Linked DNA regions of Anolis sagrei. The protein of the gene in region 1 interacts with the protein of each later gene in a biochemical or structural test. Links are inferred from orthologs where the notes say so. Each region holds a gene or a part of one and is shown in the gene's direction. Other genes may lie near its edges.

What was found.
Region 2: the proteins of GADD45A (region 1) and EEF1A1 form a complex in vitro, tested with the Homo sapiens proteins (2 studies listed by BioGRID). The link is inferred for Anolis sagrei from reciprocal best matches to the Homo sapiens genes GADD45A and EEF1A1.

The regions. Positions count from the first base shown.
Region 1 is NC_090024.1:164,764,236-164,771,405, reverse strand, and holds the start of GADD45A (growth arrest and DNA damage-inducible protein GADD45 alpha), read left to right. Parts: upstream 1-4,151; 5' UTR 4,152-4,170; coding exon 4,171-4,379; intron 4,380-5,474; coding exon 5,475-5,576; intron 5,577-7,170. UniProt on the Homo sapiens protein: In T-cells, functions as a regulator of p38 MAPKs by inhibiting p88 phosphorylation and activity.
Region 2 is NC_090021.1:111,735,995-111,743,115, forward strand, and holds the start of EEF1A1 (elongation factor 1-alpha 1), read left to right. Parts: upstream 1-4,114; 5' UTR 4,115-4,217; intron 4,218-5,483; 5' UTR 5,484-5,529; coding exon 5,530-5,673; intron 5,674-6,866; coding exon 6,867-7,046; intron 7,047-7,121. UniProt on the Homo sapiens protein: Translation elongation factor that catalyzes the GTP-dependent binding of aminoacyl-tRNA (aa-tRNA) to the A-site of ribosomes during the elongation phase of protein synthesis.

The DNA.
Region 1 (7,170 bases):
ATCGCATTCAACCACTGCAGTTAAAGTGGTGTCAAGTTGCATTAATTCTACAGTATAGATCAGGCCTGGGCAAACTTCGGCCCTCCAGGTGTTTTGGACTCCAACTCCCACAATTCCTAGCAGCCTACCGGCTGCTAGGAATTGTGGGAGTTGGAGTCCAAAACACCTGGAGGGCCGAAGTTTGCCCAGGCCTGGCACAGATGTACATCTAGATTTCTTTCTGCAAAAATTAAAAAAAACCCCAGCTCTTAGTCGAGCCGTTGTTATTCTCCAGGTGGAAAAAAGGCATTTGAAAAGACTTGTTGACAAATCATTAAAAAACACAACAACTTTCCTTGCATAGCTGAAGGCCTGTAGTTAAAAAAACAAAACCACAGAGTGGGAGACCAGGAAAAGTACCACAAAGGTCTGCGTTTACAGACATGTCAAGCATCTGCTAAAGGAGAGATTCCCCTTGAGATTACTGTCTGCAGACCAAATGATGATTTCCCAAAGACCTGTATCCCCTAAGGTCACTGTGTACAGCCCTTGTAATACAAAGAGACTTCTCTCTCTCACACAGGTTCTGCAACATAAACACCTAATGTATTGTTTTTTTAAAAAAATATTATACTTTCATCTTTTTTTTAAATGAGAAACTGCATGTCGCTTCTGGTGTGAGAGAATTGGCCGTCTGCAAGGATGTTGCTCATGGGATGCCCGGATGTTTTGATGTTTCACCTTCTCTCATGTTCCTGCATGGGGAGCTGGAGCTGACAGAGGGAGCTCATCGACGTTCTCCCCAGATTCGAATCTCTGACCTGTTGGGTCTTCACTTCTGCCGGCACAAGGGTTTAACCCACTGCATCACTGGGGGCTCCTATACTCTCACTTGATATAGGCATCTAACAATAAATAGAAAACAATGTGCCGGCAGGACTGAAGACCGACAGGTCACGGTTTTGAATTCGGGGAGAGCGCAGATGAGCTCCCTCTATCAGCTCCAGCTCCTCATGTGGGGACATGAGAGAAGCATCCCACAAGGATGATAAAACATCAAAACATCTGGGCATCCCCTGAGCAACGTCCTTGCAGACGGCCAATTCTCTTACACCAGAAGCGACTTGCAGTTTCTCAAGTCGCCCCTGACACGACAAAAAAATGCACATTAAAACAATGCAAAGGCAATAAAATATTTTTAATGGGAAATAAACCATTTCGCTGTTGAAACCATTCAACATTAAAATATTAAAATGAATTAAAACTCTACACTTGTTCCCCAGTGAGGCAATGGTTTAAACCCTTGTGCCAGCAGGACTGCTGACCGATAGGTCAGCGGTTCAAATCTAGGAAGAGCAGATTGAGCTCCCTCTGTCAACTCCAGCTGTGGGGTCATGAGAGAAGCTCCCCACAAGGATGGTAAAAGCATCAATCATCTGGGTGTCCCCTATCTGGTGTGACAGTCGATTCTCTCATACCAGAAACGACTTGCAGTTTCTCAAGTCGCTCCTGACATGAAAAAAACAAACAAACTTGTCTTGAAATTCCCATCATGCAAGTAGCTACATCTCATCTACGTAATAATACCCATAACAGTCTATAACAGGCATGGGCAAACTTGGACCCTCCAGGTGTTTTGGACTTCAACTCCCACAATTGCTAACAGCCTCAGGTCTCTTACTTTCCCCCCTCAACTGCTTAAGGAATTGTGGGAGTTGAAGTCCAAAACATCCTGTAGGTCCCAAGTTTGCCCATAACTAGTCTATAACAATGCAGCACCTAGGACCTTGGTTGTGGTCAATAGTAAAATAGAATAGGAGTCAACTGCGGTTTGCAAACTAAGGGTGCATCTAGAATTAATCTGCACTTTGACACCACTTTAACTGTCAGGACTCAATGCTGTGGGATCATGGGATTTGTAGTTTTACAAGGTCTTTATTGGGGTATGGGTATTAGTTTGTACAACTGTACCCTCAATTCGCTACTGGTATGATAAATAAATAAATGCTCTTTATTTGGCCCAAAGGGTGCTAGTGCTTCTCCAGATTACAAATCCCAAGAGAGATGGCAATTGGTGTCAATTAAAGTGCATTAAATCTATATAGTAGACGTATCATCCCTCCAAGAAGCGTCGGGCAGTGACTGAGTTAAAAAAACAAACCGACTGCAAAGTGTCAGCTCTCCTTTGGCTTTTATAACCTGCTTACTAACAACTATTTATTGTAAGGGGTGATCTGCAAAAAGCATGAGGCCTGCAAACAGAAGCTTAGGGTCAAATCCCTGCCCCCTTTTCTCTAAACAAAGAGGAGGGGAAAAATGTACACTAACAAGGAAAAAAACAGCTGAAGCAGGAGAACCACAGAAAGAGAGAGAAAGAGAGGAAAAAAGGGATGGAGAGAAAGAGAGAGAGAGGAGGATAGAGGAATAGAGAGGGAGGGAGTGGGAGAGAAAAAGAGATAGGGAGGGAGGGAGCAAAAGTGAGGAGGAAAGAGAGAGAAAAGGAGGGAGGGGAGAGGGGCAAGAGAAATAGAGAGGGAAAAGGAGGGAAGGGGAGAGAGAAAGAAAAGAGATAGAAAGGAAAAGAGGGATGGAGAAAAAAGAGTAACAGGAGGGAATGAAAAAGAAAGAAAGAAAGAAAGAAAGAAAGAAAGAAAGAAAGAAAGAAAGGGAGAGAGGAGGAGAGATGAGGGGAGAAAGAGAGAGAGAGAGAAAAGAAGGTAGGGGGAGAGGGGCAAGAGAAATAAGAGAGGGGAAAGGAGGGAAGGGGGAGAAAGAAAAATGAGAGAAAGGGAAAGGGGGATGGAGGAAGAAAAAGAAACAAGAGGGAATGAGGAAGAAAGAAAGAAAAGGAAGAGAGAGAGGAGAGAGAAACTGAGAGAAAAGGGGAGAGAGAGAAGGAGGGAGGGGAGAAGGGCAAGAGAAATAGAGAGGGAAAATGAGGGAAGGGGAGAGAAAGAAAAATGAGAGAAAGGGAAAGAGGGAGGGAGAAAGAAAAACAGGTGGGAATGAGGAAGAAAAAGAAAAGGGAGAGAAAGAGGGAGAGAGGGGGAATGAGAGAGAGAAAGGGAGAGAGAAAAGGAGGGAGGGGAGAGGGGCAAGAGAAATAGAGAGGGAAAAGGAGGGAAGGGGGAGAGAAAGAAAAGAGAGAAAGGTAAAGAGGGATGGAGAAATAAAGAGAAACAGGAGGGAATGAGGAAGAAAGAAAGAGGGGATGAAAGAGGGGGGAGAGGGAGGAAAGAGAGAAAAAGAGAGAGATAAAGGAGGGATGGGAGAGGGGTAAGAGAAATAGAGAGGGAAAATGAGGTTAGGGGAGAGAGAAAGAAAAATGAGAGAAGGGGGAAGAGGCATGTAGAAAGAAAGGAAAAAAGAGGGGGAAAGAAAGAAAAGGGAAAGAGAGAGAAAATGAGGGAAGGGGAAAAGACCAGAGAAATAAGGGAGGGAAAAGGAGGGAAGGGGAGAGAGAAAGAAAAGAGAAAGGGAAAGAGGGAAGGAGAAAGAAACAGGAGGGGATGAGGAAGAAAGAAAGAGGGAGAGAAAGAGAGGGAAAGGAGGGAGTGAGAGAAAAGGGAAAGAGAGAGAAAAGGAGGGAGGGACAAGAGAAATAGAGAGGGAAAATGAGGTTGGGGGAGAGAGAAAGAAAAATGAGAAAAGGGGAAAGAGGGATGGAGAAAGAGAGGGAAAAGGAGGAGGAAGGAGAGGAAAGGGAAAAAGAGAAAAAAGGAGGGAAGGGGGAAAGGCCAGAGAAATAAGGGAGGGAAAAAGAGGGAATGGGAGAGAGAAAGAAAAGAGAGAAAGGGAAACAGGGAGGGAGAAAAAACAGGAGGGAATGAGGAAGAAAGAAAGAAAAAGGGAGAGAAAGAGAGGGAGTGAGAGAAACTGAGAGAAAGAGGAAGAGAGAGAAACAAAAGAGGGGGGAGTGAGAAAGAAAAAAGTGAGTGAAAGAGAGGGGGAGAGAGAAAGAGAAAAAAGAGAGAGGGGGAGAACCATCCACAACTCTCTCTCTCTCTCTTTCAATAAGCCCCGCCCCTCCGAACGCTTTCCTCCAATCAGCGGCGGCGGAGGCGGCCGGGGAAAGTGACTGAGCCCGTTCTCCCAGCCGAAGGGAGCCGAGGACACGATACGCAGGACGGGCGAGGGGAAAGGGTTGCGGGGGGGGGGGGGGTGTCAAGCGGAGCGCGGTGGCTCATTTGCATGGCCCAATCGGGTGTCCGCATGCAAACGAGCCGCGCGGCGATTGGCTGCGGGGTTGGCAGGATAACTCCAGCCCGGGGAGCCCTTTGTCCCTCAGACCGGCTTTGGGCTCCGGAGGGAGAGGCGGCCTCTCTGGCTTGGTGGCAAGTGGCGCGAGGCTGCAACATGACTCTGGAAGAGCTGGCGGGGGAGCACCAAGCACTGGGAAGGTACTTCAAGGAAAGGGAGTTCTGGGAAGGGAAGGAGAAGCAGGACTTTTTAGAGCTCTCTCTCTCTCTCAAAGGTTGCATTCTGCCTTGTCTTCTGCAAAAGTGCCTGAAGGGGAGAAATACAGTGTGGGGTGTAGGGCAGAAAAGAGAACGGGGTGGCATATATAATAATAATAATAATAATAATAACTACATTATATTGTGATGATTCGTGCAATTTCCTTTTGAATTTCCTCCTGACAAGATCAATCCTCCTCACAACAACCCATGGATTGCTGAAGTTACTGACAGATCCTTATTGATCTGCAAAGTATTAGGATTTTCCCCCCAAATTGCATTGCACTAAATTGCATCCTCCCCCATTCAGCACCATTGCATTGCACAATGCAATAGTGCTGCGTGAGGGGGGATGCAATTTAGATGTTTTTTCAATGTGAGGGGCAGGAAAGTCAGGGATTTTTGTGGGATTTCCCCCCTCTTGACAGGATCATTCCCTTCAAAAGTCATACCTGGCTAAGCCCCAATTTACTAACAGCTCCTTATTTATCTGCAAAGTGTTAGGATTGCTTCAAAGGTCCTCAGGATGCAATTTAGATGTTGTTTTTTCAGTGTGAGGGGCAGAAAACTCAGGATGTGGAAGATTTTTGGGATTTTTTCCCCTTTTGGCATGATCATTCCCTTCCAAAGCCATACCTGGCTAAGCCCCAAGTGACTAACAGCTCCTTATTTATCTGCAAAGTGTTAGGATTGCTTCAAAAGCTCCTCTTTTATTAAAAAAAAAGCCCTCCTTGCATTGCACCACCTTTGCTGACACTTAAAAGGAACCCATTTCCCATAAAGTGTTGGGCTGTCTCTTGCCTGTCTCTCCACGTGAGAAGATCAAGGACTGCGGTTTCTCCAGAGACGCTGCTTCTTCCCTTTGGATTAATGGCATTTTTTTAAAAAAGTCTATGTTTTGCATGTCTGGGATGGGCTGGAGGTCAGCTTGAAGGCCAGGACGGCGGCGTATGGGTTTTTTTTTCCTTTGTGGTGTAACTTCTTTTTTTGGCTGACTTTTTTTTCTCCCTCCTTCTTTTTTGGGGACTTTTCCGTCAGCATGGAGAAAGTAGGAGACGCCTTGGAAGAAGTCCTAAGCAAAGCCCTGACTCAGAGAACCATCACAGTCGGCGTGTATGAGGCAGCCAAGCTGCTCAATGTGTAAGTGACCCTCTGTTGCCTGATTGATTGATTGATTGACAGTAATGACAATGTGTTGTTGAAGCTTTCATATCCGGATTGCTGTGAGTTTTCCGGGCTGTATGGCCATGTTCCAGAAGCATTCTCTCCTGACATTGCACCCACATCTATGGCAGTTCTTTCTCCCACCCTGGACATTCCACAGATATATAGACCTCTGAGGATAACTGTCATAGATGTGGGTGAAACATCAGGAGAGAATGCTTCTGTGACATGGCCATACAGCCTGGAAAACTCACATCACATGATGATGATAAGGATCAGGTCATCCCACTTATATTCAGCTTCTGGGATTGTTGGTATATCTCTTATTTTATTTATGTTTATCCCACCTTTCTCCTGATACATGGAGTCTACTTTTGCTTTCCACTTAAGTTGGATATTTCGTTTATATGGGCCAAATAGAAAAAAAATCCAGAGATCTCTAGTTAAGTGGTCATAACCACACCAATGTTTGGTCATCAAGTCTGTGTGTGTGAATTTGTTTATGGACAATTTTTCAGAAGAATTCCTGCAGAGTTGCGTTAAGTTTTCCAGGCTGTTGTTGCAGAAGCATTCTCTCCTGACATTTCACCCACATCTATGGCAGACACCTCAGAGGTTGTGAGGGTGGGAGAAAGAACTCTAGTCTGCTTGAGGCAAGTGTGAATGTTGCAATTGGCCACCCTGATTAGCATTGAGTGGCTTTGCAGCTTCCCAACACCTCCCAACAAAGGATTCCCCCAGACAGCAACCAGCCAGTATTTAAAGCTGCAAGGCCATTCAATGCTAATCAGGGTGGCCAACTGCAACATTCACACTTGCATTAAGCAGAAAAGAGTTCTTTCTCCCACCCTGGACATCACACAGATATATAAACCTCATTTTCCTAATTTCCAACAGACCTCACAAGCTCTGAGGATGCCTGCCATAGATGTGGGTGAAATGTCAGGAGAGAATGCTTCTGTAACATGGCCAGAAAAAACTCACAGCAACCCAGTGATTCCAGCCATTAAATCCTTCGGCAACACAGAGTTAATGCAGTTTGACACCATTTTTAACTCCTGTGGCCCAATGCTATGGAATCATAGGAATTATAGTTTTACAAGGTCTTTATCCTTCTGTGGCAAAGAGTGCTGTTGTCTCGTCAAACTACAACTCCCGGCATCCCATTGCATTCAGCCATGGCAGATAAAGTGATGTCAAACTGCATTAGTTTGCCAGTGCAGCTACACCCCCCCTGTCTCTCTTTGACTCGCAATGCAAGCCTGGCAATGGGATTGGCACTTTTGAAAATGTGGCTTTTTTCTTAGTGCTCAAACATAATCAGATCCTCTTTTGAATAATAATAATAATAATAATAATAATAATAATAATCCTCACTGGATTCCACTTTGAAGCAAACCAACAACCATTTCCCATTGACTATGGGTTGTGTCTTTGTGCGAGCCCATGTGAGAACTGGGTTGTTGTAAGTTTTTCAGGCTGTATGGCCATGTTCCAGAAGCATTATCTCCTGACGTTTCACCTGCATCTATGGTAGGCACACTCAGAGGTTGTAAGGTGTGACCTCTGG
Region 2 (7,121 bases), on another chromosome or scaffold:
CCATGGGAACTTGCATTGAGACCCCTTCTAGGGCCCTTCTACACCACCATATAAAATCCACATTATCTACTTGGAACTGGATTATATGGCAGTGTAGATTCATATAATCCAGTTTAAAGCAGATAATGTGAATCATCTGCTTTGATAATCTAGATTATATGACAGTGTAAAAGAGGCTAATGTATTGATTGTCTACTTGAAAGTTATGTAAATAATCTGCAGTCATAATTTTTATTAATTTATGAAGCTGCCCAATCCTTTACACTTCCCTTCGTGACTTTATTCTATAACCCTTCCGAGTCTTTCCCCCCCCCTGCATAGTGGTATAGTGTCATCTGCATATCTTAAATTGTTGATATTCCTTCAGTGTTCACTCCTCTTTCCTCCTGTTTTAGGTAGGATATATTCAGCATAAAAGTGATAAAAGGCGGTTTTACCTGACCTTTCTGGCAACTGGAAACCACTCTGGGCCCTCTACATTGTAGAATTAATCCAGTTTGACACCGTTCAGTGCCATGGGTTCATGGGTTTTGTAGCTTTACAAGGTCTTTCACCTTCTCTGCCAATGAATGCTGATGCCTCACCAAACTACAACTTCCACGCTTCCTTAGCGTTCAGCTATGGCAGTTAAAATGGTGTCAAACTAGATTAATTCTACAATATAGATGCACTCTCTGTTTGTCCACATTCTGTCCACATGGACAGAATGAGAATAGAGCAGGACAATAAAATGTTGCAGCCTTAAGAGAGATGTATAATTTTGGGGGAAAAAATCACATTCATAGGTTTGCTATCATCTATCTTTCTATCTATCTATCTATCTATCTATCTATCTATCTATCTATCTACCTATCTATCCATCCACATAATATATATGTGTGTATGTGGCTAGGGTGTCCACTTACAGAGACAAGCTCCTGCCTCCACAAACAGCTATAGCTCCCACTGCTCAGGAGACACAAATGGCCCTCCCTCCAGTGACATTGAAGGTTATAGAGAGCACCATGAACATGCCCAAGAGCCAGGCATGTAGCCGGGGGGGGGGGGGGGGGGGGCTCGGGGGGCTTCAGCCCCCCCCCCCCCCCGAAATTTTCATGGTGGTTCGCGAAAAGGCCTTATTGGTGCATTATTTAAACTGTTATGTTTATTCATATCATGATCTGATCACCATACTCAATATATCCCATATGCATGGGGATATTGGGGTAATGATACAAAAGGTTTGCTAGGCTAGACCCTCTTTCACTCAGACTCAGCCCCCCCCCGAAAATCAGCCCCCCCCCAAAACCCCCCCTGAAAAAAAATCAGCCCCCCCCCCCCCCCGAAATGAAATCCTGGCTACGGGCCTACCACGAGCCCTGTCAGTGTCTTCCACAAACACAAGCCTGCCCACCACCCAAGTGAAAGCTTTCATATGGGTACATTTTCACCCTAGAGTTTCTGTTTTTCCTCCACCACAGGCATCCCAGTATTTCTGACTCTTTCCATTAGTGTGGAATTTGCATGACCCCACCCACTGCCTCTCCCTTAACCCTTTCCTATTCTTTTCTCTAGCACACAGAAGCAGAGGAATTGATCAGAGAGGTTTGGGGAGAATTCACTATTATTTATAGAAGCTGTAGGTACTGGGATGTATAGTTCACCTGCACCCTAAGAGCACTCTGAACTCCAGCAACTATGGACCTGGAACTAACTTGGCACATAGAACCCCCATGACCAACAAAACATACTGGACTTGGAGCAATTTATAGGAGTTGTAGTTCACCTACATCCAGAGCGCACTATGAACCTAAATAGCGATGGATCTGGACCAAACTTGGCATGCATACCTGATATGTCAAAATTTGAATACTGGTGGGTTTTGAGGGGAATTAGCCTTGACATTTTGGAGTTGTAGGTACTGGGATGTATAGTACACCTGCTATCAACAAACACTTCAAACTCCATTAAAGATGTAATTAAACCAAGCTTGGCACACAGAGCCCCCATGACCAGCAAAAAATACTGGAGGTATTTGGGAGAAATTTACCTTGATTTGGGGGAGTTGTAGTTCGCCTACATCGAGAGAGCACTGTAAACCCAAACATCGATTGATCTGGACCAAACTAGGCACACAGACCTGATATGCGGAAATATGATTATTGGAGGGGTTTGGGGGAGTTGGCATTCCTTTCTGGAAGTTGTAGATCACCCACAACCAGAGAAACTGTGACTTCCACTAATGAGGGACCTCGACCAAACTTGGTGCTCAAAGCCCCATGACTAACACAACCTACTGGAGGGGTTTTAGGGGACTGACTCACCATAGTAGGAGTTGTAGTTTACCCTACAGCCAGAGAGCGAATTGAACCCCATCAATGATGCATCTAGACCAGTGGTTCTCAACCTGTGGGTCCCCAGATGTTTTGGCCTTCAACTCCCAGAAATCCTAACAGCTGGTAAACTGGCTGGGATTTCTGGGAGTTGTAGGCCACCAACCCCCCTCCCCCCCCCAAAAAAAACAACACCTGGGGACCCATAGGATGAGAACCACTGTCCTAGAAGAAACTTGCCCAACATAACAAACTTTTAAGTACTGATGGAGCTTTTGGGGTTAACCTGGCATAATGTGAGTTGTAGTTTACCCACTACCTTATGTATTTTGTACAATTAAAAAATAGTCTTTTCAAATAACCCGGACAATGCCAGCTACCAAGCTACTAATATTTAAAACACAGGCTGATTTTCCTCTGCAGTTTTTAGAAATGCATTATCCAACATATCTTTGCAAGTATGTGTGTATGTGTACGTGCGTGTGTATATACAGTAGAGTCTCACTTATTCAACATAAACAGACCAGCAGAACATTGGATAAGCAAAAATGTTGGATAATAAGGAGGGATTAAGGGAAATCCTATTAAATGTCAAATTACGTTATGATTTTACAAATTAAGCGCCAAAACATCATGTTTTACAACCAATCCACAGAAAAAGCAGTTCAATATATGGTAATGTTATGTAGTAATTACTGTATTTAGGAATTTAGCACCAAAACATCGCAATGTATTGAAACAGCTGTGGATCCGGATGGGAAGCAGAATACGTTGGATAATACAGAACGTTGGATGAACAAAGGTTGGATAAGCAAGAATCTCTGTGTGTGTGTATACACACAAAAAGGGAAGGAGGGAGAATTTAAAAAGAAGAAAAAAGTATATCTCATGGAACACCAATTAAGTGAAAGTTTGTATCTCATCAGGTAACACTGAGAGTGCCATTTTGGGCAGCTTTATTTGTCAAACAGATCTAGAATCCCAATTAATTTGGGAGAAGGGGTTTGACACAGAAAATTGAAGAGTGAAGTTTAGTGTGATGCTGAGGAATGTCATATATGACTATGTATAAATGAATGGATGAGTATAGTGAGAGGCACAAAAAAGATGACTTTCATATATGAATATGTAAAGTGAATGAATTGATTAGTATAGTGAGGGGCACAAAAATATGAGTTTCATATATAAATATGTATGTATGCATAAATGACTGGATGGATGAGTATAGTGAGGGGCACAAAAAAGGATGACTCCCATGGTGGAAATGGGAAGATCTCAACTGTTGCTGCCACTTGCTTGAAATATCACATCTTCTCCTTTAAGGATCCCTCTTCATCCTAAACACCCCAAATGCAGTATGATAAATAAATTAATTGATTCAGTATGGGATGAAGAAGGATCCTTAAAGAGGACGAGAGGATAAAATGTTTAGAAGCTGGGAGGGAAAGGAGGAGGAGGAGAGAGAGAGAGAGGACATGGCCGAGGGCAGAGAAAGGCAAAGGGCGAAAGTGGTTGAAGCCCCACTGCTCTCACTCAGCTCATTCTTCGCCTCTAAAGGGAACGTCTACAAACTATCAGGAAATTTGTGCGGCAGAAGGGTGGCGCGCGTGACGTCACAGGCGAGGATTGTCAAGGCGGCGGAGGGAGGGGAGGGGGAGAGAAAGAGCGCGCTTTCGTCACAAAGGGGGAATTTCCCCCCTCTCCCTTGGAGGGAGTGCTCGGTGGGAGGGGTAGTCCAGGGCGAGGCAGGGAGCCGGGAGGAGAGGAGGGAGCCCGGAGCGCCGAATGGAACTCTGGGAGGCGTGACGTCTGCCCTACAAGCCCCGCCCCCTCGGCACAAGCTATATAAAGGGCGCCGCTCACCGCTTCGGTCTTTTTCGCTACGGGTTTGCCGCTGCTTCGGAGGTGAGTCTCTGCCACGTGTGTTGCGGGAAGGGGAGGAGGCCTGGGCCTAGGCCGGGCGGGGCCCACGTGTTTCCATCGGGGACAATGGCGTTCGACGCCTGAAAGGGAGGGGACTTGTGGGGGGAGGGGATGGGACACGCGTGTCAGCGCGTACACACGTTACGTGTATGTGAGAGGGGTCGGGAGGGAATGGGGGCTTGTGAGAGGGATTGGGAAGGAATGGGGGCTTGGGGAAAGCTTTTTCGGGAACGCGTGTCTTGCTTTTCCGTGTCGAGCTTGGCAAACACGTGTCTCAATTTCGGATTGAAATGCTGTCGTTTTGAGGATAGCGCGACGCTTTGTTTCTGCTCCTCATCTCGTCAATCCCCACTCCCCTTTTGTGTGGTTGTATTGGCTGGCCTTCGTTGTAATTGCGTTCCTGACGCCCTCGTTGTTGCATATTCAACTCAGCGTTCTTTTCTATTACTCTGTGTGTGTAATCACTACACAGAGTAATTGGGGCGCCTTTCCATGGGGAGCCACTGATGCCGCACTCCCTCTCGCCCTGCCTCTCTCTCGTTCTCTGGGAAGAAGCCTTTTGCCTTCTCTCGCTTCGCTGTGGGGAAAAAATGGCGGCGGCTGTCGCTGCCACAAAATGGAGGGCGCGCGGGCGGGGCGCGTGCCGGCCGGAGGGAGAAGGAGGGAGGGAGGAAGCGAGCGCGAGCCGGGCCCTTGAGTGCGCATGCGCGGCTTCGCACACAAAGGGAGTCTCGAGCCGCCCTCGCTCAGTTTTTCCTCTTTCTCTGCCTCAACCCCTTATTAACTGGGCCTTTTTAAACTCTTGCGGCCACGACGACACGCGAAAGACTTCGGTGAGGAAGAGTGGGGGGAGCTTGGGTTTCCGCCCCGCTGACGCAACGCCCCTCCTCCTCCTCACTGCCGCCACCTTGGAGCGGTGGGTGGAGTTGAGCAACTCGAGGCAGGCTTCGGGCCTAGCTCAGGCCTACACCTCAAACAGCATCTGCCTGCGCGCTTTCCTCTAACGCAATGGTTCTCAACCTGTGGGTCCCCAGGTATTTTGGCCTACAACTCCCAGAAATCTTAACAGCTAGTAAACTGGCTGGGATTTCTGGGAGTTGTAGGCCAAAATACCTGGGGACCCACAGGTTGAGAACCACTGCAGTAGATAAATATTTTGCCTTTTTGCGTATTGTTAATTAGCAGGCTCTGATCTCTTTTAATTTTAATTTTAAATGATTTTTTATTTATCCCCCCAAAAAACAAAAGGTTTTTTATCTGAAGCGGGCGAGAACCACCTTATTCATCTGCCAAAATGGGAAAGGAAAAGACCCACATCAACATTGTGGTCATCGGGCATGTCGACTCTGGCAAGTCCACCACCACTGGTCACCTGATCTACAAATGTGGTGGGATCGACAAGAGGACCATTGAGAAGTTTGAGAAGGAAGCTGCTGAGGTGGGTATGGCACCCCTGGTGTAATTTCCAGTCTAACATCAAAACAAGGGATTTTTGATCAATTATAATTTTTCTTTTAATTTTTCTGATATTAAATTTATTAAATGTTGGTGCTTTATGTAAAAAAATTAAATGGAATAAAAAAGGATGAGAATGTAAGGCTACATTGATGTGAACCTGTGTAGTTTAAGAGGACTGTTCCCTAGGTTTCAAGGGAAAATTAGTCTAGGGCCCCACCTACCCTTGCCAGTTCCCTTCAAACTGTGGTCCCTTCTACACTGCCATATAATCCATTTCAAAGCAGCTGCCCTGAGTCTGTAATGGGGTGGTGGTGATGCAATAAATCATTATTAAAGCAGATAATGGATTTTATATAGCAGTGTAGTAGGGGCTTGTGGTAGCCAGGCAAGAAACGCTCAGAAAAGTACACAAAAGGAAGCCCTTTATACACATCACTGGTTTGTGGTAATCGCCAGGCCCCAGGCTGATTTCTGTAATCAAAATGGCATTAAATGGTCATTGTAGATGGGGCCTCTCAGATCTTACATTATAGCTACACTATTTAATCTCTACTACAATGCAACCAGTATACTTGATTTCCCAAGTCTCTTCTGCTTGTATTTAAGGAGTTCATTTATTGTGGTAAATTGTAAATGGTAAACATCTAAAATGTGTAATTTTAAAAATGCACCACGAGATGTTTTGTGTATCTATGTCAGTCTTGTAGTCCTCCAGGTGCCAGAATTCTGGACTAAGGGACAACCTGACTAGGGCTTCTGGTAGTTGGGGTCCTAAAAACCTGCCGGGCTACATAAATATAATAATCTTCTGGCTTTAGTTTAGAATGGGATGCTTAGCAGAATTCACAAGTTAAATGGACATAGAAAATATATGGAGGAGCCAGTGAATGTGCCATGTATCTTGTCAGTTATTTGGCTGTTACATCTGTAAGCTTTGAAGTAGCTGTTAAGTAATTAAACAGTTCAGCACTGTATTAAGTGTCACTGGGTTAAGTAAGCAAAACAGATTTGGAATCTCACACTGCCTCTGCCAAACTGTGCTAAATATAGTAATGTGTGTATTACATTTCAGTGTGTTTGATGCTTGACGTCTTGAGCAAGTTCTTTCTGGCAACAGTTAACTTCTCTGTAAGATGTGTTAATCTAATTGCCTTTTTCTTGTTCAATAAACAGATGGGCAAAGGCTCCTTCAAGTATGCCTGGGTGTTGGACAAACTGAAAGCGGAACGTGAACGTGGTATCACTATTGACATTTCACTCTGGAAGTTTGAAACAAGCAAATACTATGTCACTATCATTGATGCCCCTGGACACAGAGACTTCATCAAGAACATGATTACTGGAACCTCCCAGGTAAGCAGATTATGGTGTTTTGGGAATCTAGAGTAAGATTTACCTGTGTTGAGAAAATACATTCAATTTATTACT